5 linked regions of the Oryctolagus cuniculus genome follow. The protein of the gene in region 5 interacts with the protein of the main gene of each other region in a pairwise test. Links are inferred from orthologs where the notes say so. Each region holds a gene or a part of one and is shown on either strand. Other genes may lie near its edges. The genes, in order: CCDC33, TRAF3IP3, TRIM42, ABT1 and EMD.

Region 1 (3,876 bases), on a different chromosome or scaffold from region 5:
GTCCTGCTGGGGAAACTCCTGACCCCTGCCCTGCCTGTGTCCTAGGGTGCGGAGGAGCCGCAGGACGCCAGGGGCCCCGGACGCGTCCAGGGCCTTACTGGGCAGGGGAGCAGGCCACGCTGGGTCCCGCAGGTGCAACTCAGCCACGGTCCTGCGGTTGGAAGGCAAGGACCGGGGCGGGGGGTGAGTGCCAGGGACCCCCACCACTCACTCGCGCTGGGCTTCTCCTGCAGCCTGCTCGGCGCGGGGGCCTCGCTCCAGTCCCGCAGCATCCGCTCCATCTTCTGGATCACCTGCGGGCAGAGCACCGAGGCCGCGTTGGCCAGGGCTGTCCCCGGGCCGGCGCGGGGCGGGCCCCCGGCGGGCAGCCGGCACCTGCCTTCTCCTGGTGCCGCACGGTGTCTTCCAGCGCGCGCATCTGCTGCAGCTTGTCCTGGTAGCGCTTCAGCAGCGCGGCCTGCGGCGGCTGCGCCTGGTGCGAGAGCAGTAGCTCCTTCTCCCGGTCGTTCTTCTGCGGGTGCAGAAGAGAGACGCGTGGGTGCCCGGGAGCCAGCCTTGGCCCCGGGGTCCTCCCTGGCGGGGCCCCCGTCTCCGTCCCCGCTCACTCGAATCAGCTCGTTCTGCAGGTGCTGCACCTTGTCCCGCAGCTGGTTCACGTCCAGCTCTGCCAGCAGCAGCCTCTCCTTCATGGAGCCTGTTGGGGGCACAGGGGGTGGCTCAGGGAGGTGGGGGGGGGGTCTCTCCCTGCTGAGTCAGCAAAGTCAGGGCCAGGAGGGCAGCGTGGACTCTGTCTTTCCCAGCAGCAGGGGCCGTGGGAGCGTCTGCGGGTGTGGGCGGAGCTCCTGCCCTCCCCTCCCACGTCTCCGTGCCTCAGCCCCCCCCCCCCCCACCGGGTGAGCTCACCCAGGTTCTGCAACTCCTGGGCCTCGGCCTGCGCCTCCTCGGCCTCCCGCCGGGCCAGCCGGCTCCGCAGCCTGCGGTTCTCGCCGTCCAGGACGCTGGCCTGCTTCCGCAGCGACAGGATGTCCTCTGCCATCTTCTGCATGGCTCGCCTGTAGTTGTTCATCTCCTGGGAACCCCGGAGCCCAGGGCTGAGCCCCTGCACCACGGCTGCCCCCCGCCCGCATCGCCACCTCCACCTGGAAGTCCCGCGGGTCACCCCAAGCCCTAGGCTGTGCCTCCCAGGCTCAGTCCTCACCCCTGCTGGCCACCATGAGGCCGGCTGCTCTGATACGCTCTCACGCCCCCGACACCAGTTCTGGGCAGCAGGCCTCAGCATGGGCTACAGAGCCTGGGGAGATGCTGGACTGGCCGAATCACCACCATGTCCTGTCCTCGTCCCTCGTCCCTGACCCCTGGAGCCCAGGGGAGCCCCTGGCTGAAGCTGTTCAGCTGGCCCAGAGTGCAGAGGGGACACGGAGTATGCCTGGGGGAGACCCCGAGAAGGGCGCGGTGTTGAGGTCGGGACCCAGTGGTGAGGGGAGCGTGCCAGGGCAGGGAGCCAGACCCGGTCGCCAGGTTAGAGACGGCCCTCGTCCACCCTCCTGGTGGAGGACACCCCCTGAGAGTTTACCCCCTCTAAGTGGTATTTTTCGGTTTTATTTATTAGAGAGAGAGGAGAATTCCCACCCACTGGCTCACTCCCCCAAGGTCCAGAACAAGCAGGGCCAGGCCAGGCTGAAGCCAGGAGCCGGGAGCTCCATCCGGGTCTCCCAGGTGGGCAGCACTGGAGCTGTCACCTGCAACCTTCCAGGGTGCCCGTCAGCAGGAATGGGGGCAGGGCTGGGACTTGAACCCAGGCCCTGTGATACAGGGCATGGGCGTCCCGGGCAGGGTCTGAACCGCCACACCACACGTCCACTCCTCTCCGTGCTCAGGACAAGCCTGGGAGGGCAGATCTTGTCACCCCCCATTTTTCTGACGAGGGAAGCAGGGGCCGGAGAGGTGAGCGGTCTGCTCGGTGCCAGCACCAAGGCCTGGGGCAGCGGGGCCGGCGGGCGCCGTCTGGGCTCTGGTGCTCCGGGGGACCTCCACGGCGCAAACGCCAGCCTGGCTGCCCCCGGAGAGCCACGCCTCCCCAGGGGCTGGGAGGGAGGGACCTTGGCCAGGCGCCCCCTCCCCCCCACCGTGGGCCCCCAGCAGGACCTTGGGCCGAGCAGCTGGGCCGGGAGGCCGTAGCCTGCGGGCAGCAGCCCTGACCTCTCCCCACAGGGCCACGCTGTGCGTCACGGCCCAGTCTTGGACACCATGGCCCCAGATTCCTCCGCGCTCCTGGGCCCTCGGCCGCTGCTCCTGTTGGGGCGGGGCCAGGTTTCACTTGGGGGATCGGCGGGGACCCCTCACAGCCCGGGTGAGTCTCGCCCCAGCCACGCTGAGAGCCTGGGGCACCCTGCAGACGACAAAGACGCAACTGTGGCTGGGGAGGCAGGCAGGGGGCGACTGTGGGACGCGGCGAGGAGGCTCACGTCTGCGGCGAGGTGGGGGTGTGTGGCTGGGGAGGGTCCACCCCCTGGCCCCCAGCGATGGATTCATGGGAGTTTGCTTTTCCCACAGTCGGTTCCCGTTCCTGTCGGTGGGTCGCCTTTTGCAGTTTATATGGTAAAAGGACTGAGCGCAATAGTTTCCAGTCTATAGAGACAGCCTCCAGGCCAGGGTGGAGAAGGGATGTGTGGGGGCTGGGGACGGAGGGGTATGTAGGGGAGGCGTGGGCATGAGCAGGGGCAGGGGTGGGGAGGGTTCTCCCAGGGGAGGGAAGGGGGCTAGGGGCAGGTGCAGACAAGGTGCCCACCTGAGGCAGGTGGGAGGCCCTGCAGGGGCTGCAGTAGGAGCATAGGGAGGGGCGGGGCCGGGCCGGGCACACCCTTCTCTCCTCCTTGGCCCTTCCCTGGGTGGCCACTCAACCTCAGAGTCCCCCCGGGGGTCCCCAGGGTCTGGCCCTGGCAGGCCAGGCCATCTGAATGTAGTTTGCCTTTTCCACCAGCAGGGGGCAGCAGTGTTGCGCAGACGCTCAGGCCACCCCCCACACCATGAAGCAGGAGCTAGGAAGGGTGTGTGCAGGGAGTCTTAGACTCATCCCCGAGCCCGGCACACATGGCCCTGCTCCAAGTGGTCCAGCTGCCTGCCCAGACCTGCTGTGCCCAGCTCTTCCCGTCTCAGAGACTCCGGTGGGCTGGCCACCTGTTCAGGGTCGCACAGAGAATCCGGATCTCAGCTGGGTCCTGTCCTGGGCAGGCGATGGGACTGAGTGGGGACAAGACCCAGCCTGAAGCTGCCCCAGCTCTTCCCACCGGCACAGCAGCGGCACCTGAGGCTCACCCACGTGCAGGGCAGTTGAGAGGGGCTTAGGAGCAGCTTGGGACGCATTTGATCACGCATGTGCACATGCACGCACACGCATGTACACGCCAGCCTAAACCACGCAGCATCCCCCTCTCACCCAGGACAGACCACGGGTGCTCAGCCCGGGGGGGGTCCTCACAAGGCCCTGTCTGCACCTCTCTGTCTAGTTGGAACTTGGGGTTTGAGGGGGAAGAGTCCAGCCCCGGTTTTCTGAGGGCGAGGTGGGGCCAGGTGCAGCGAGGGCTGCGTGATTTGGCCAAGGTCTCGTCCTCATACGGGGCAGAGCTGCCCTGGGATTTGGTTCTCTGGGGGCTGTTGGGAGTATGCGCCCCTCCCCCCGAGGCTCAGGGTGACGGTGCTGGAAGGGTCTGAGCTGGCCGAGATTCTGGGTCAGAGCAGAAACGTGCGGGCCCTGGCCTGGCCATCTGAGCCCTACAGCTTCCTCCTCCAGGAAGGCCCCCCAGCTGGGCGTCCTTCCTGCTGCCTCAAGACACAGCCTTCCGGGGGGCAGTGTGTGGCACTGGGGAGAGCCCCGCC
Region 2 (3,876 bases), on a different chromosome or scaffold from region 5:
TTACAGGACAGACTCTTTGAGGTGTGATTCATGTGTGTGCTGGTTTGGATGGCACAGTCCATGTCTGGACTAAGGAAAGCAGACTTGGAAGCAGAGTTAACCCTCACCGGGAGGTGATTCTAGAAATATGCAACCCTCAGCTTCCCAAGCGAGAGAGCCAGATGCACGGAAGTGGGTTTCATCCTGGACTGGACGTGTGGCAGGGGCTTGACCAATGCTGATTTGATCTGATTTGCACATGCGAACCAGAACCCAGCCCTGAGAGTGAAATGGGTGCCAATGGACCCATGCCGGGACGACAGAGGACCCAGCAGACTAGGAGCACAAGCTGGTTGCTAAGGGCCGGGAAGACAGCAGTGGTTGCTGGTCCCAGGCCTCGTCACTTCCTGAGGAGGATCGGTTTTCCCTCCGGGTCTCAAGTGTCACTTGACTATTTTAGTAACAAAGTAGGCCAAGAGAGCAGTAAAAATGCTGACTCCCCTTCTAGGTTTGGGAGATTAAGGGGAACAGGGTCAACTTAGCTGTATCCTTGGCAGGCTTCAAAATGAACACACGTGCTGCAGAATGAGATCATTCTAATTTTGTCAATTATTTCTCATGCCTTAGAAGAAGCAGTGGTATCCAGAGAGACCCGAGCACTTCACAGAGGGTTGACGCAGGTTAGAGAAAATCAGGAATTCGCTTTTCTTAGATTTTATTAGTTTGCCAGAGACTAAGCCCAGGAGTGCAGGCTCCAAGCTGGATACTCTCACGTCCTCAGTGCTCGACACATGTGGATGGAACGCTGTGCTATTTCTGCCCACTAGACCAGGGAGATGGTCATCTTTCTTCCTGTCTTTTGACACCTCCCTCTTGGCATTTGGCAGGGTCCAGGCGGTTATGCAAGGAAGTGGAAGCCAAGTGCAACAGGTGCTCGGGAGGTCATCATGATCAGGCCAGACCCCAGGCCCTCCCCCGGCTTGGCCCGGTGGGCTGAGAGCTACGAGGCCAAGTATGAGCGCCGGCAGGAGACCCGTGAGAGCCGCCGCTGTCGCCCCAACATGACCACTTGCCGCCAGGTGGGAAAGGCAATGAGGACCCAGCAGAGAGAGCAGCTCCAGCGAGCTCGACAACGGCAGTTCTTCCAGAGGAGGAAGCTGGAGGTGGAGGAGCGAGGCCAGGCACGGCCTCCCGGGGCCAAGGAGCAAGGCCCTTCCAGGAGGACACGCCAGGCCGCTACCCTCAATGGGTCCTTGTCTTGTGCCAACAGGATCTCCTCCCCTGGACAGCAGGTGGGCCATGTCCAGGGACGCACTGCTCCCAAGGTGGAGGGAGGGTGGGCTCAAGGTCACGAAAAAATGGTTCTACTAAATCTCTTATTCTTTGGTCAAATACGAAAGTCTCCACTTGCCAGCTATTTAGTCACACAGGGATTTTTGTTCTAGTGTTTTCCTTTATTTGTTTAGCTCTTTTTTTTTTTTTTTTTTTTTTGCACTTACCTTCTGGGAGAAAAAAAATTATGAACAATCCCATTGCAATACCTAGTGTCAGTTCAAATTTAGGCAATCTATAGTATCTGCTAAGCTATTTTACAGCATTCACCCACCCATCATTCATGCAATATTTACTGAATCCTTATATGCCAAGGACAGGCCAACCCTCTTTATGTCCCCTCTCCCAACACACATGCGGACACAGACACACACACCTGGTCCTCTATTCTTCTGCAAGTCTGTTGCATCTGCTCACCCTCTCGCTTTCCCTTGGCCATTCCAGTTCTACCAAATTCACTTAGTTAAGGCCTCAATCTGGTCCAAGAAGCCTTCCCTGGCCTCTCCAGGCCACTCTTGCTCTCTGTGGGTTGTGGGGTTATAAATCTTCTAAGATTGTGTAACGCTTAGAGAGCTCGTTGGTCTGGCCTGGGAAGCAGCAGTGTTGGCAAACGCCAGGGTATGTGGAGATGATCCGACCTCAGCCAGCAAGCCATCTGTGTCTGCCCACCAATGCTGTGAGCACACTGACAGTACGGATGGGTCTGCTGTATTCCCTGGAAACACCTGGCCCTGTGCCGTACTCTGAGTAGCAGCTCCATCGGGGCTTCTTTCCTGGGGCTCTGCTCTGCGTAACGGGAGGGCTGTTCAAAGAAAAGATCCTGCGGCTCAACAGCAAAAGGAAACCAACTCTATGCTTCCTAAGGCAGAACGACTTCTGCATGCGTTTTGTTGGAAGAAAAGAAATCCAGAAAGAAAAGTAGAGCAACTACAACTCATTAAGAACTCCAGAGTTCCACGTCCACCTATCAGTCATGTGAGGTTTTACTGAGACTGAATCTCTGTCCGCGGGATTAGGTACTACGGGGATGTCACCAGCACAGACTTCCTGTGTTAGCAAGAACACAAGATAGAAAGAGCAAACCAAGCTGTGGCCACGACCACCACCCCCTCTCCTCAGCTTCCTACTTTACCTTCTCTTCGCACAAAATCTCAGAGATTCTCCAGCAGAGAGGAAGGAAGCTAGCTCTAGAATAAAGCAAGCACCCTGCGAGTCATCTGTCCCAAACTCCCCACTGCACAGGCAGGAGACTGACACCACAAAAGCAGGATCTAAAACCCAGAGCCCCTTACCCACTGCCACTCAATTCTTTTTCCACCTTGCCACCCTGGGTGAGTAATTGGCTGGGACCAAACAGTATAGGCAAGGATTCTGGAGTGAATTGTTAGAGGCAAATCCAGCTGCCAGGCAGGACCTGGCAAGCAGACGCAGCGGAAACCTTGTGGCCTGGAAGGCTCGAGTGGGCTCCTGGAGCTGAACTGCTGTCCTGGGCACTTGCACTGCTGTCCCCAGTCAGCAGGGACTGGGAGGCCTTAACAAGAGAAACTTATTTCTCACAAGTCTGAGAGGCTGGAAGTCCAGGCTAGCGGCTCTGGCAGTCAGTGTGTGAGGACATTCTTCCTGGGCTAGTGATGGCCTTCTCATCGCATCCTCACAGGGCAGAGAGCAGACAGGGAGGCACACCGTCTCGTGTCTCTGCTCATGAAAGGGTGCTGGAACCATCATGAGGGCTCCACTTTGACCTGACCATTCCCCAGGGCTCCACACAAGCACTCGGGCCACAGCAGATGTGATCTCTCCAATCATCTGGAGAATCTGCTTCCTTGAGGCTCTGGGGAGTGGTTCTCAGCATCCCCTACTTGCTTTCCAGGTGGCAGAGACCAGCTCTAAGAGCCTTCCAGGCCAGCAGCACCCTCCCGCAGACGTCCAGAGGGGTCTAGCTGACCAGCCCTCCCCCCTGGCAGGGGGCCTCCCACCACAGGACCCTTCCATCAGGAAGCTGCCCAAACATCACCGTGGTAAGGGCAGTGCTCCTTGGCATGACTGGATCTACAGGGAATCCACAGTTCCAGCTCACTGGCTGTGGAGAGTCCCTGTCCCTCCTCCTCTCCCTCATACCCTCTCCATGGCATCTGAGTCACCTTATCCTCCTTCTCCCAGGCACTCAGACCAAGGCAGAAGAACCACAGCCGACACTGAAAAACGATGCCAGTCAGCAAACCAAGTGAGTTCCTTTCACAGTCCTGCCCCTAACACCTACACAGCCCATCCATCCCTGTCTCCTAGGCTCCCACTTGAACACCTCTACCCAGCATGTAGAGGGAGCACAGTGACTTTCCATGCCACTTTAATCAGGAAGAAAGAAGCCCTTCCCCACCCCAAGGGCTGTTCAGAAGGGATCCCAGAAAGAATCCACCTGCTGCCTCCTGATTTGCTTAATGTCCACTGACTTTTCTTCTTCTCTTCCCAGTTATGGAGTGGCAGTTCTGGATAAGGTAAGAAAATTGCCACTTTGAAGGGGTTTCTCTAAGATACAAAATTCTGGAATTCCACGATAAACTCAGG
Region 3 (4,457 bases), on a different chromosome or scaffold from region 5:
TGTTTCCATCTGCTTTTGACTTTCTGCTTTCCCTGTAGGAGCATGGCCCTGTCTCCATCCCCACTCCCTTGGGTGGGGTCCTGGGCCTCAGAGTCCAGGCTCTCAGAGGGGCCTCCTGGGCACACAGGGATGGAGTCACCCTCGGGTGCCTGGAAGGCCCACCTCTCAGGGTTTGGATGCTGGGCTGTAGCCCACCAGCCTTGATGTTCTCAGCTGGTTCCACTGTGCCATCCTAGCCTCCTGCCTGGAGTCATCAAGAGTGGTAAAGGATAACACATGGAGGCTGGATGGACTTCTTGAGTTTGATTTAAAAAAAATGGGACTCTGAGAACCAGGGCGTACTATGACAGGTGTCAGCCAAAGAAATCAGGGAGATGGAGGGAGGTGGGGGGGAAGGGAGAGAGAATGAGCACAGGGTTCAGAGACAGGTGTCAATGGCCTAGGGAGCTGTGGCAGCGGTAGGAATGGAGGTGAGGAAATGAGTATGGCTGAGCGGGACAGGCGAGAGCAGAGAGAGGTGAGTGGCTGTAACTGCTCAGCAGGAGGCGGTGATGAGCAGCAGGGAGGCAGGGCTTCAGGACCCAGGGGAGGGGCCAGGGAGAAGACAGGCACAATGCCTCCTGAAGCTGTCAAGTGCATCCCTGCCCAGCCTGCAGAAGCCTCAGGTGTGGACAAGGTGTTCAGTAGCCAGGGATCCATGCCCAGCTGCCAGGCCCAGCAGCCTGGTCTTCCTGCTAAACTATCTGCCTCTGGTCCTTTCTCCTCACTCTCCCCAGTTCAGGCCTGGTCCCCTTGCCCCTGGATTCTCACTGTCTCTCCTGGCAAGTCTCCTAGCTTCCCTTCCTGCTCCCGCAGGCCATTCTGCACATTGGAATCACCTGAACAGGATGGGCCTTATACAATTCTGATGCCCAGGTGGTACCCCAGGCCAATAACATTCAGAGTTTTGGGGAGGCAGTGGACCAGGCTTAGGTATTTTTAAAGATCCCTGCATGATTGCAAATGCATAGAAATTTGGGAACCACTGATGCCAAAGCCACTTTCCCAAAGCAGCAGTTTCATCCCTCCTGGAATGGGCTCTGTGGCTCTCCGTGGCTGGTGCTTGGAGAACGGGCGTGTCCAGAGAGAGGGGTGTGGCCACTGCTTTCCACACCTTGGAACCTCTGGACTTGCCACTAGAGTCCCTGGATTCCCGCAAGCACCAGAGAGGGCCGTGCACGGAAACTCATGTTTCCTACGCCCCTACCAAGCACCTAATCTCAAGATGGATCTTACATTCTTGCCCTGAGTCCACCAAACCTTTGTTGGTAGAATTGCTGATGCAGCCTTGAAGGCCTTCAGACTTGCTTCCTATTGTTCAGCCTCTCCTAGTCCACTCATCTCACAGTGCTGAGTAAGTCTGTCCTTACCAGGCTCCTCTCACAGGGACAGAAGAAGACTGACTCGGTAGAGTAGGAAGAGGTTATACAGTGCTTAGTGGGGATGACTAATGCCCCCAGTGAGCACCTGGAGGCCCAAAGCACCATGACTTCTCCATGGGAAAGTCGAGGAGGCCAACGGGAGTTCAGATGTGTCTGGGGCACTCAGGTGAATACAGGTCATCAGGCTCAAAACTGGTCCTTGGAAATTCTTACTTTTCCAAGAAACATTGCATATATCAAGAGTTCACAGTAGCAGGGGGAAGAGCGATTTATATTTTTATGTCACCTATCAGGTTACAAAGCACATGCAAAGAGCCCTCAACAAATTCATGGAAAATGCGGATCATGAACAACTTTGCACCCAAATCAACTTATGTCTGAACTCTACTGTCCATGAATTTCACATCAGTCCTCACAGGGCCTCTCCATTTTGCAACACAACACTTGAAATTTAAAATAATGGCTTCTGGGTTCAAATCCTGACTCTGCATCATGCTAGCTGTGTCAACCCAGGTGGCTTCACCTCTCAAAGGCTCTGTTGCTGGGTCCAGTGGGCTCAGGGAGAGGAGGGTTCCCCAGGGTCTCCCATGCAGTGCCTGGCAAGTTGCTTAAGCACTGAGTATTGGCTCTGAGTACTTTGCACCCATGAGAGAGTTGTGGTTCAGAAGAGTGCTGTAAGCATTCACACCTTATGGATTTTCAATTTGGAAGTTAGAGTCTATACTGGTTAGTATACTAGGATATACTTAATTGCTACATGGTTAGTATATGAGGATATACTCAATTGCTACAAAATTCCTGGCTTCCTTTTCCCACAGAGAGAAATGAACCCAGGGGTTACCAGCCCACCCTGTGGGCCCCCAGCTGGCACTGAGTTCCCAGTTTTCACTTACGAGGTGCGGATGCTCTTGAGACGGCCCTTGCGGAAGGTGATGGTGGCATTGCGACAGCAGCGGCTCTCATAGTAGTAGCACTTGAGATTGCTGCTGGTCGTGCAGCAGCATTTGCAGTTGGGATCATTGGCCCAGGAGCAGCAGCACCAGTGGCAGTTGGGGTTATCGGAGCAGGTGCAGTGGCAGAACTGGCAGTTCCGCTCATCCTTGTATGGGCAGGGGAAGCAGGTGCAGTTCCTCTCCGAGGTGAAGATGAACTTGCAGCACAGACAGGAGCATAGCTGAGGACAACATCTTTGCCATGTACAACATGGCGAGCAAACGCACATAGCAGTCTCCATGGCCCCTACATGATTACCACGTCCCCACCGTGGCTCTTGGTGTCTCCTCTACCAGAATCCTGCTGCCAGTTCTCAGTGGAGGTGTCCCTCCTCCCCCAACCCAGTGAGGCCGTCAGCCTGAGAGTTGCAAGAAGTTGGCTGTTAGGAGGCTCTCACCAGTGGTGTCCCTGCCAGGAAGCTCATGGGTTAGCACGTGCATGAGGCCATTTGCTGATGTCACAATCACTGGGTCCTTGCAGTGTCTCACCACGCTGTGGAGCTGGCAGGTGAAGCCTGGAGTGGTTAGCAGGTGAGTTGATGGATACTCCCCTCATGCCTCCGTCGGACCAGCTCCAGGGGAGCTGTCCTTGGTCCCCTTCCTGGTTGTGGGGTAGATTTCAGAAGCTATTTCTTCTTGCTTGGTGTTTGCCCGTAGTTTGGGCAAGCTGATTTCAGGGAATGTCTTCCCAGACTGAGAAGCCTGGCATGACTAATTGGAAAAGTAGATGGACATAATTTTCCTCTCCTGGGTTTTTCCTGCATGATAGAACTCCTTACAGTGTTTACAAATAGCAACAAGGAGGACAGCACGGAAGGAGGTGTCACCATTTGTGGAAAGAACTAAAGGAGCAGAAGACACCGCTTCCTTCAGGAGCTTCTTTTGAAAGTCATTGCTCTTGCCCATCACTGCATAATGACTGGTCTGTTTCATGAGGCTTCGCAGAAACCTCCGAATGTTTTTTGCCAATTCTGCAGCTTCAAGGGGTTTGACCAAGTCTTAGGCTTTACTTCCTTTCCCCCACCCTACTATCAGTCCTCTAGGTCCTGTTAATCAAGAAGTTATAATGCTACATGAGCTTTATACTTTTGTGCTAGCAGTGTGCTCCAGATACCTGGAAACAAGACCCTAATGGGGTGAATTTCGTTTCCACTTGATGCAGCTTGCAAAGGTTAAAAGAGCAAAGTGTTCATGACCACGCCGCATGACGGTATGAAGGCTGCAGTATTACTTTTCCAAAAAGAACTGAAGGCTGAGTTTGGCTGCTCGAGCCGATTGCATAATCCATGATCTCTCCCCATGATGATCGTCTTCATAATAGGAAAGAACGTTTACTGAGTGCTAATGGTGCCAGCCACACACCGATTTTAAGTTTCTAGAAATGAGAGGGCTGGATCATAGGGTATGTGCTTTATCTTTTTTGATAGATGCCACTAAATTGCCTACTCAAATAAATGTGCCAGTTCATACTGACACCAGTAATGGATGAGAGACATCTTTCCCACACATTTGCTCAAACTCAATTTTATCTGCCTTTCTCCCTAGGCTCCAGGCCCAGAGGTCCAAATGCCATTCTTGGGTTCATGGTATATTTTCATTACTGGTCTCTGTGAAGTCCCCTCTTTTTAGAAATTGTTATTGACATTACAATTCACTTACCATTAAATTTACCATGAACAATTGAATAGTTTTCAGTATAATCATAAAACTGTGCAGCTGTCACCAAGACCTAATTCCAAAACATTTTCATCACCCCAAAAGACACTCAAGGGCAGTCAGCCACTCCTCATTCCCTAGCGGCTCCTGTCTATCCTTGAGAAGTACCCTAAGTTCTAAGGATTTGCCTGCTTTGGACATTCCCTATAAATGGAATCGTATCATATATGGCTTTTGTGTCTGGACTCTTTAGCTTAGCACAGTGTTTTTGGGTTCATCCATGTGTAGCATGTATCAGTATTTCATTTTTTAATGACTGAATAATATTGTTATAATATATTGTTATAATATTTTGTTTATCCATTATAATTGCAGGACATTGAAGTGT
Region 4 (4,521 bases), on a different chromosome or scaffold from region 5:
GAGTTAAAATACAAAGTTCCTACCCCAGCTTTCCATTAACTTGCCAATGTATAAAGCCTTGCTTTTGAAGATTATTTCTGGCCAAAGCCAGAAACTCTATCCTACTCTCGTACGTGGAGAGTAAGAACCCAAGCATGTGGGCCACCTGCTGCTGTTGCTTTCTCAGGCACATTAACAGGGAGATGGATCAGAAGCAGCTGGGACTCAAACTGACACTCTGATGTAGGATGCTGGTGTTGCAAAAGGCAGCTTAACCTGCTATGTCACAACTCCAGCCCCTAGGCTTGCCTTGAAGGGTTGTGTGTGGAATAAACCTTGCTACAGCTCTGCCCAGACCACCTGCCATCCTGGTCTGGAATGCAGTGTGTAAGTTCCCTTAATAAACTCTTGTATTCCTATATGGCGCTTCCCAATTCAATTTTTCAGTCTCAGGATTCCTGCTCAGTTTGGGAGACATGACATACTCTGCCATGACAAATTCTGCCTACCAGACACTCAGAGAAAGGCGGGGAGGAGGTGGGGTTCAGGTAGAATGGAGGCTGAGAACAGGAGATGAAGCAAAATGAACAGATGGAATACAAGAAAAACTTCTAACTTGTTCAATGGGCTCCATCCCCCGAATCTAAAAGTATGTAGAAACAGTCATATTCTTCCTTTTCTGTAAAAAAATTTCAAAGATGGTTTCCATCCCAGTCCCACTTTATTAGCTGCTCTACTTGCTTTCAATTAAGAAACAAAGATGCTGCTGCCCCCTCACCTATGGATGGTAAACACAACCTGACTCCCTAACAAGCCGTTCCTCTGATTAGCAATAAAGGGCCTTTCTGGGACCGGCAAGTGGGAGTTTTAGGGAAACCCAGCGAGACAGCCAGCCAAAAGTCAAGCAGAGGAAAACCAACTCCTACAGTAGTCATATCCACACCACAGGAATTAGGCATTTCAGCCAAACACGTACAGGAGTCGGGAGGAAGGAGAAAGGAAGCCTGAAACACTTGCGTTTCTGGGTCCTCACCAGGGAAACACAATAAAATGTTTGCCTGTGTGGTCAGTCTCCCTAGTGTGAGGTAGAACGAGAAAGGCAGAGCCGGGGGCCGGAAGGGGTCTCCCATTCCCTCAGGAGTCCCTGACCCGAGAAGGTCCCTCTGTGTTCTCCGAGGGGGGCGCAGCTCCGAAGATCTTGGCAAGGAGCCCTCGGTTGGAGCGCGCCTGGTCCTGGACTGCAGCCAAGCGAGCCCGCTCACGCCCTCCTGGCCGCGCTGCCTTCCGGGCCCTCAGCTCCTGCTCAGTGGGCCGCTGGGCAAATGCCCAGGAGCCATCTGGTCGGGTAGGGTCCCCATCAGCAGCAAGGAAGCGCTGTCCTCGCTCCACACTTCGAAGATAGAAGTCAGTCTCCCGCTTGGCTTGGGCAACCTCTGCTCTCAGGCGCTGCCTCCGTACTTGGCGCTCAAAGGCAAGGTGTTCACTGAGGTGGGACCAGGTGAACCGGTGCAGGTACTGTGGGCAGGAAGAAAAGGAGAGATCAAGGAGAAGAACTGGGAGACAGACAGGCGGACAGCTTGGCACGTGGGCCAATCCTCACCTTGAGATTCCACAGGTCATAACGGAACGGGCTGCGCTTGCGGGCACCCATGGGCGTGTTGTGCAGACTGGCCGCCACGCGCTTGGCTATGCGCTTGTCCCGAAACTCTACCCAGCCTTCGGTGTAGTCTTTGCTGTACTTCGACCGCTTTTTTCCTCCTGTGGCCGCTGCTGCTGCTTTTTTCTTGCGTCTCACGAACCGATCTGCGTACCAAAGACAGAGCTGAGCTCGGGACTCGGCACCCCAGACGCGCCTCCCACTGGCCGCGCCATTCTCTTAGCTCGCCTACGGGGTACCCCCTCACAGTCTCTGGAAAGAATGAACTGTGAGATACACTCTGCCTCACACACCCTTTCCTTTATCTAGATCAACACTTCCTCAAATGTCACTCCTTAGGTCTGCCCTGCACGCTACCAAAAACTTGTACAGGGGCCGGCACTGTGGCGCAGTGGATTGAACCCCTGGCCTGCAGTGCAGACATCCCATATGGGTGCAGGTTCGAGTCCCGGCTGCTCCACTTCCGATCCAGCTCCCTGGATTCAGGGAACCAGCTCCCTGGATCGTGTGCCTCGGAGGGCAGTGGAGGATGGCCCAAGTCCTTGGGCCCCTACACCCATGTGGGAGACCCGGAGGAAGCGCCTGGCTTCAGATCAGCTCAGCTCCGGCCACTGCAGCCATTTGGGGAGTGAACCAGTAGATGGAAGGCCTCTCTCTGTCTCTCTTTAACTCTTTCAAGTGGCTAAAATAGGAAAGTTCCTGATGTTTTTATTCCAACTGCACTATCGCTCAGCGCATCAGTAGGCACAGAAGTAGGCGCACACGAGATCGGAACCCAAAGGCCGCAAGCCCAGAACTAAGGGGCCAGTAGGCCCGCCCCCCGCCCCGCCCGCTCAGAGATCCCATTCCTACGATGCACCAGGCCAGCGCCTCGAGAGTTCACAGAGCGCGCCCGCGCTCCTACCTTCCGCCTGAAAGAACACGCGTCCGACCTCTCCGTAGGCGCTCAAGAGGTTGCGCACGTGCAAGGGACGGAAGCGCGGCGGGACGTGGCCCAAGTATACAATTCCCGGCACCACCCGCTTCTTCTTGCTGCGGCCCGTTTCTGTGGATTCCTCCTGGTCCTCTTCCTCCTCTAGTTCCTGCTCCGTCCCTTCTGGCGGATCTGGTTCCGTGGCTGCCTTCTCCGACTCCTCCACCTCCATGCTGACAGAGACAGGGAGCACGACAGCCGTAAAGCGCCGTGGCGATTACGCACTCGTCGTGCGACGACGTGCTACGAGGGGCGGGACTGGGGCGGTGACTACGCAATGAGCGACAGCTTGCCGCGAAGGGCAGGGCGAGGAGATGACAACAATGAAAAGACTGAGGGACGGAAGCTGGCCCAAGAGGGCGGATTTGAGGGTGTCAGGTCAGAAGTGAGAGTTGAGCTGGGGGAAGGATGAAAAATCGGGAGAGCGGAAGTGACGCCTCTCCAGAGGTGGGGTGACGGAACCGGAACCGGAAATAACGTTACGAGAACGACGTAACACGCCCGGTTGAACGCCCTGAAGAGGCGCGGGCGAGTGAGGCAGGGCTCCGGGAAGTTCGCGGGGCAGTATTTGCCGAGTTTCTTTGTGCCCTAACGATCGAAATAACATTTTATACAAAGAACCCGGATATGGTGTCGGTGACGGATAACTCATCTTTGTAAACTTCGATTTTCAATGTAAAACTAAGAGTTTTGAAGTCTCACATGACAGTATTGAATGTTTTGAATGTTTGAAAATGTGGTTTAACGTTGCAGATGTTTAGATTTACTTTCGAAATTTTAGACAGTTTAACGACTTTAAATTTGATTTTGTGAATGTCTGAAGTAAGTGTGCGTGCGAATTATTTGAAGAACTTGGCTTGTTCCTTATGTGTGTGTGATAGTCCATGTGTGCGTTTCTGTCACACGTATTCGTCAGGTCACCCAGGCCAGCCCGGTGCGGTTCAGCCCTCCTGTCCCAGGTCCTACCCGGCGGCCCCGGCGCGACCGCGCTTCCCGACACCCAGACCCGGGCAGGGCCCCCGGGGCGCCCCCAGGACGCGCCCTGACGACGCGTGCTCGGTGGGAGCAGAGTGACGCCCAAAGGCGCCTTTCAGTTTTTCGTCAATGCGCGACGCCCTTGATGGGGGCCCCAACACTAGTTTTGCATCCCGACTTGAGCCCAGAGGGACAGAGCGGGGGCAAACACGTCCCCACTTAAAAGGCCCCAGCTCCCTTCCAGAGATCCTGTGCATTTCTCGCTTCGCCGCCTGCACGTGCGTTCATTTTAAGGGAGGCAGCTCTTCCCCCGTCCTGTGTGTGTGTGTGCGGGGGTGTTGGTGGCAGTGCGTGGATGCGGTTCCCTCCTCATCCTTTAACACTGCCCTGAGAACAGCGCTGGGCGCCAGATCGCTTCCTGGCTGTGCAGAAAGATCCCGGGCGGGGCGGGCGCGTGCCGGGAGCAGACGGTGCCTTTAAAAAAAAACTCCGAATGCACGCAGGCGCTAGGTGATGAGAGGCGCAGCGCTGCTTAAAGTCTCTTCAGTACTCACCAGGATAGCACAGAGCCCCAAAGGCCAGCCCTAAACCTCTGGTGAAAATTGGGAGCGAACTCCCTTTGCGCTTCGCGTAGCACACGCGTCTTCGCAGCTGAACCCGGTGGGCCGGGGGCTCCGGGTATACTCGGGGAGCGGGAGAGGCGTGCCGTGTTTCTGTGGGGCATATTTTATACACGTAAATAATAAAGGTCTGCGAGTTTGAGCGATAAGCATCCAAGCATCCTCGTTACTGCTGCTCTGTCTTTGTGGTTCAAAACTGTTGTCCTTCGAGCCGGATTCGAACCAGCGACCTAAGGATGGCTGATTTCACGCCACTACAGTCCTCCGCTCTACCAACTGAGCTATCGAAGGACACGTGAGGGTGGCGCTTACAACAC
Region 5 (4,352 bases):
ACTGGGCCAGGTCTTTATTCTAGAATCTGGCAAACGGAAACCCCTCTTCCTTAGGGTTTTTGTCTACGGTCAAAGGGCCTCGTCTCTTCCACATTCTTCCCTGGTCTGTCTGTCCCCATTCTGTGTGAGCAATCTTCCTCAGAGAACTGGCCTGTGACCATCACCAGTTTGGGCCCTTCAGCCTGGAGCTGATCAGAGCCCTCGCACTTTCTTGTCACCAGCTAACATCTGTGAGGCCAGGACGGCACCTCATCTCTTCATGCACCCACTTCTGTCACTTCCTTTCGACTCCCCAAGGGGACAGCCCTCTTCTGATTAAGACCCTTGCCAACCCAGCCACAGTACAGGAACCTGAGCAAGCCTTGGCAGTCTCTCACGGCTCACCAGGCTCCTCTGCCCCTGCCCGGCCCCCTCCTGGTCACTGGGCTCAGGGCCATTCCGACTGGAGCCCCCTTCCCTTCCACCCAGTACCCCGGGTTGACAGTAGGGTGGGCTGGGAGGGCACACTCCCTCTCCGAAGCGCGCTCTGCCCGTGCCCGCTGGAACGGCCCGCCGGGCCCCTTCGAAGGCTGTTTGCTCCAGGAGTGCCCGCGTCCTCCTGGCCCAGTGCCCCATTTCCTCCCGGGTGGAGGGCGGGAGGAGCAAGGGAAGGAGGGAGGGAGGCGATGGGAACCGATGGGCGCAGGTGCGCAGGCGAGGGCCGGTGCAGGTCAGCGAGGCCGGCCTGGGCCAGGGGGTCCGCGTAGCGCACCCAAAGCGTAGACAGCAGTGGCTGGCCCGAGAGCGGCGCTGTGCAAAGGGTGGCTCCTTCCCGCTGCTGCGGGAGAACCCTCGGCCTGGGATCCCGGGAAAAGGGGGACGACGAGTGCAGGCGCAGGGATGTGGCAAGAGTCAACCGGCCCGAACCACCGCAAAGACACCCACGCCGCCGGCTCCCTAGCTCCCACGTTCTGGCCGGTTTCTACCGGTTCGGGTCGCATAGGCTCCGCCCCTCCCGCGAGTCTAGCTCAGAAGCGCCTGCGTGTGACGTCTTGGCGTGCCCGTCCAGCCCCTTTTCTCGAGCGTGCAGCCCCGCCCACTCCCACGGCCTGAGTAGTCTGAGCCACTTTGGCTCCCACACAGGCCCCGCCCCTCTTCCGCCACAAACCAATCTCGCACGTTTTTGAAATACGAGCTCGCCAGGCCCGCCCCGCCCGCTCCCACAGCTAGACCGGTCCGTGCCGGCTCCTCCTTGTGGTTTGGCTCCGCCCCGCGCAGCGCGCGCAGCCTGCGGAGCCCGCGGCCATGACGGGAGCGTGACGCAGACGTGACGCAAGCGCGGCCGCTCCCGAGCCCTGCGAGGCAGTGGTGTTGCTTGGCCTGTGTCGCCAGGCCCGGGCTGCCCCCAGCCCTTCGCCACCTGCCGGCCGCGCCCGCGATGGACGACTACGCGGTCCTGTCGGACACCGAGCTGGCCGCCGTGCTGCGCCAGTACAACATTCCGCACGGGCCAGTCGTGGGTACGCGGGAGCGGGCGGGACGCCTCCCGGGACTCGCTCTCCCGCGCGCCGTCTCGCAGCCCCCCGGTACCCCCCGCCTGCGTCCCCTACCCAGATTCCCTCCCTGGGCTCGCAGCCCACGACCCTGACCGCCCCGCGCCCGCTGTCTGGTCAGGCTCCACTCGCAAGCTCTACGAAAAGAAAATCTTCGAGTACGAGACCCAGAGGCGGAGGCTCTCCCCACCCAACTCGTCTGCTTCCTCGTTCTCCTATCGGTTCTCGGGTGAGCAGCTGGCTGCCGGTGGTGACAGGGAGGGTGGGATTTCGAGGGTGTGGCGTGGGGGGTGGGTTGCTAGCCGAGAGAGGCACTGCGAAGAAGGGAGGGAAGCCTGGGGGAAAATGGTCTCGTCCCCCCCCTCAATTCAGACTTGGATTCGGCATCTGTGGACTCGGATAAGTACGACCTGCCCAAGAAAGAGGACGCCTTACTTTACCAGAGCAAGGGTAAGGCAAGGAATTGACACCCTTAACACCATCACCCCAACACCTTCACCCACCCTGTCCCGGACCGTGGGCGTAGGGAAAACCTGAGGCCTCGACTCCCCACCAGCCTCAGCGACCTGAGAGGGGCCCCAAAAACGCTGTTTAAATAAGGGTCCCTGGAGCAGCTGGGGAACACGGGTCTGCCCTCTGCTACCAGTGCTCCCTTTTTCAAGGCTATAATGATGACTACTACGAGGAGAGTTACTTGAGCACCAGGACTTACGGGGAGCCCGAGTCTGTGGGCACATCCAAAGGCTTCCGGCAACCCGGGACTTCGCTTTCTGATGCTGACACCTCCCACCACCAGGTGAGCTGCCGTCGGGCACCTCATATCCGGGGGCAGCTTGAAGGGATGACAGCTGGGTTTGGGTAAATCCCAGCATCACTGGGTACAAATGCTAGCTCCTAGGTTTCCAGAGAGAGTTAGGATGAGTTAGGACTTTGCTACGGGGCGTGTCAAGAGTATTTGACTAGAGCACACAGGATGTGGCCTGCACCCTGGTCAGGATCTGAAGTTCCAACTCAGAATCCAGGGGGAGAAAAGAGGGTTCTGGGGTCAGTGCTGTGGCACAGCAGGTTAAGCTACCGCCTGCAGTGCCAGCATCCCATGTGCATCCAGGTTGGAGTCCTGGCTGCTCCACTTCTGATCCAGCTCCCTGCTACTGTGCCTGGGAAAGCAGTGGGGGATGGTGTGAGTACTTGGGCTCCTGCCACTCCCATGGGAGACCTGGATGGAATTCCAGGCTCCTGGCTTCAGCCTGGCTCAGCCCTGGCCATTGTGGCCATTTGGGGAGTTAACCAACAGGTGGAAGATCTCTCCCTCTCTAACTCTGCCTTTCAAATAAATAAGTAGAATCTTAAAAAAAAAAATGTTTATTTTCATCTGCTTGAAACCAGAGCAACAGGAAGACAAAAAGAGAAAGTGAGGTCTTCCATCCCCTGGTTAATGTCCTAAATGCCCAGGATGGGGGCCATGGCAAAGCCAGGAGCCCAGAACTCCATCTAGGTTTTCCACAGGGGTAGCAGGGGACCAGAAGCAAACCAGCCAAAACTTGAACTGGCACTCCGTATGGGATATGGGCACCCTAACTGGCAACCAAACCTGCCACGCCACAATGCCTGCCCTGTCTGGCCTTTAAGCAATGGTTAGAGTGGGCTGAGTAATACGACAGGCTGTGCTGACCCTGCTGGCCAGTCCCGTCACCTCGATTCTGGTCTGCAGGTGCGCAGTGACCATCTTTTCTCTTCTGAAGAGGAGGACAAGGACAGGTGAGTAGTGGGAAGGCCCTGGGAGCAGTGATTCTGGGCCTAGCTCTCCTGGCTCACCTGCTCCCCTCTTTTGCATTAGGGAACGCTCCACATATGGCCGTGACAGTGCCTACCAGAGCATCGCACACTACCGCCCTGTTTCCAACGTCTCCAGGAGTTCCTTGGGCCTGTCCTATTACCCTGCATCCTCCTCTTCTGTGGCCTCTTCGCCTTCTCCATCATGGCTCGCCCGCCGTGCCATCCGACCAGAAAAGCAGGCCCCTGCAGCTGGTCTGGGTCAGGACCGCCAGGTCCCACTCTGGGGCCAGCTGCTGCTTTTCCTGGTCTTTGCTGCCTTCCTGCTCTTTGTTTACTATTCCTTGCAGGCAGAGGAAGGCAACCCCTTCTGGATGGATCCCTGAGGGTCTTGATTTCAGAGCCAGCTCTTTGAAGTCCTGGCTGTCTGCCTTAGTGCAGTGTGTGCTGGGGGTGGGGGTGGGGGCTTTTCTGTGTGTTCTAGCTTTGGGGGCTGGGCCTAGCCCTGAGCAGTGCTTGCTCCCCCTGCCTGCTCCCACCAGGGAGGCAGCAGACTCGGGCCCTTCACGTTCTGGTAGGCCTGGGCGTGCCTTCCTCTGGAGCCTCCTGGCCCTGCTTGCCTCTGACCCTTAGGGCCTGGGAGGGCAAGACTTCACTCCTTCAGAGATGTTGTCATGTGCTCATGCATGCCTCCTGTTCGTTGTCACCTTTTTGAGGTTAACCAAGGGCCACCTCGACTTTGTTTTCGTGGACGCAATAAAGACCGTTTATTTTTAATGTGTTGGCTCTTCCTGCTGGGGGAGAGGCTGGCTGCCATGCTTTGGGGTCTCTGGGTCTTAAGGTTTTTTAAGGATTGTCACCTGGCTTTATTGATTCTGTGGTTTTGCTTTGGTCTTGGCATAGGAATCAAATGCTACCGCTGACTAGGTTCATGTGTTGTTTGGGGGTTTATTCCCTGACTCCCCAAAGCACTGGTAACTACTTAAGAAAAGAACTGTGATAACAGCAAGGGGTCTGGAGAACCCACCTGGAAATGCAGGTGAGGCT

Evidence for each region.
Region 1: the proteins of EMD (region 5) and CCDC33 interact in binary tests that used the Homo sapiens proteins (3 or more experiments, as listed by UniProt). The two-hybrid records come from large-scale screens. The link is inferred for Oryctolagus cuniculus from reciprocal best matches to the Homo sapiens genes EMD and CCDC33.
Region 2: the proteins of EMD (region 5) and TRAF3IP3 interact in binary tests that used the Homo sapiens proteins (3 or more experiments, as listed by UniProt). The two-hybrid records come from large-scale screens. The link is inferred for Oryctolagus cuniculus from reciprocal best matches to the Homo sapiens genes EMD and TRAF3IP3.
Region 3: the proteins of EMD (region 5) and TRIM42 interact in binary tests that used the Homo sapiens proteins (3 or more experiments, as listed by UniProt). The two-hybrid records come from large-scale screens. The link is inferred for Oryctolagus cuniculus from reciprocal best matches to the Homo sapiens genes EMD and TRIM42.
Region 4: the proteins of EMD (region 5) and ABT1 interact in binary tests that used the Homo sapiens proteins (3 or more experiments, as listed by UniProt). The two-hybrid records come from large-scale screens. The link is inferred for Oryctolagus cuniculus from reciprocal best matches to the Homo sapiens genes EMD and ABT1.

What each region holds. Positions count from the first base shown.
Region 1 is NC_091443.1:109,318,859-109,322,734, forward strand, and holds part of CCDC33 (coiled-coil domain-containing protein 33), read right to left. Parts: intron 1,070-3,876; coding exon 904-1,069; intron 695-903; coding exon 606-694; intron 512-605; coding exon 380-511; intron 294-379; coding exon 212-293; intron 1-211.
Region 2 is NC_091444.1:24,609,275-24,613,150, forward strand, and holds part of TRAF3IP3 (TRAF3-interacting JNK-activating modulator), read left to right. Parts: intron 1-866; 5' UTR 867-926; coding exon 927-1,271; intron 1,272-3,181; coding exon 3,182-3,329; intron 3,330-3,471; coding exon 3,472-3,535; intron 3,536-3,781; coding exon 3,782-3,806; intron 3,807-3,876. UniProt on the Homo sapiens protein: Adapter protein that plays essential roles in both innate and adaptive immunity. Plays a crucial role in the regulation of thymocyte development.
Region 3 is NC_091435.1:141,105,216-141,109,672, forward strand, and holds the start of TRIM42 (tripartite motif-containing protein 42), read right to left. Parts: upstream 2,845-4,457; 5' UTR 2,656-2,844; coding exon 2,315-2,655; intron 1-2,314.
Region 4 is NC_091436.1:153,680,361-153,684,881, reverse strand, and holds ABT1 (activator of basal transcription 1), read right to left. Parts: upstream 3,056-4,521; 5' UTR 2,782-3,055; coding exon 2,541-2,781; intron 1,783-2,540; coding exon 1,580-1,782; intron 1,495-1,579; coding exon 1,114-1,494; 3' UTR 682-1,113; downstream 1-681.
Region 5 is NC_091453.1:132,604,087-132,608,438, forward strand, and holds EMD (emerin), read left to right. Parts: upstream 1-1,417; coding exon 1,418-1,499; intron 1,500-1,653; coding exon 1,654-1,761; intron 1,762-1,904; coding exon 1,905-1,982; intron 1,983-2,194; coding exon 2,195-2,328; intron 2,329-3,243; coding exon 3,244-3,290; intron 3,291-3,369; coding exon 3,370-3,691; downstream 3,692-4,352. UniProt on the Homo sapiens protein: Stabilizes and promotes the formation of a nuclear actin cortical network. Stimulates actin polymerization in vitro by binding and stabilizing the pointed end of growing filaments. Inhibits beta-catenin activity by preventing its accumulation in the nucleus.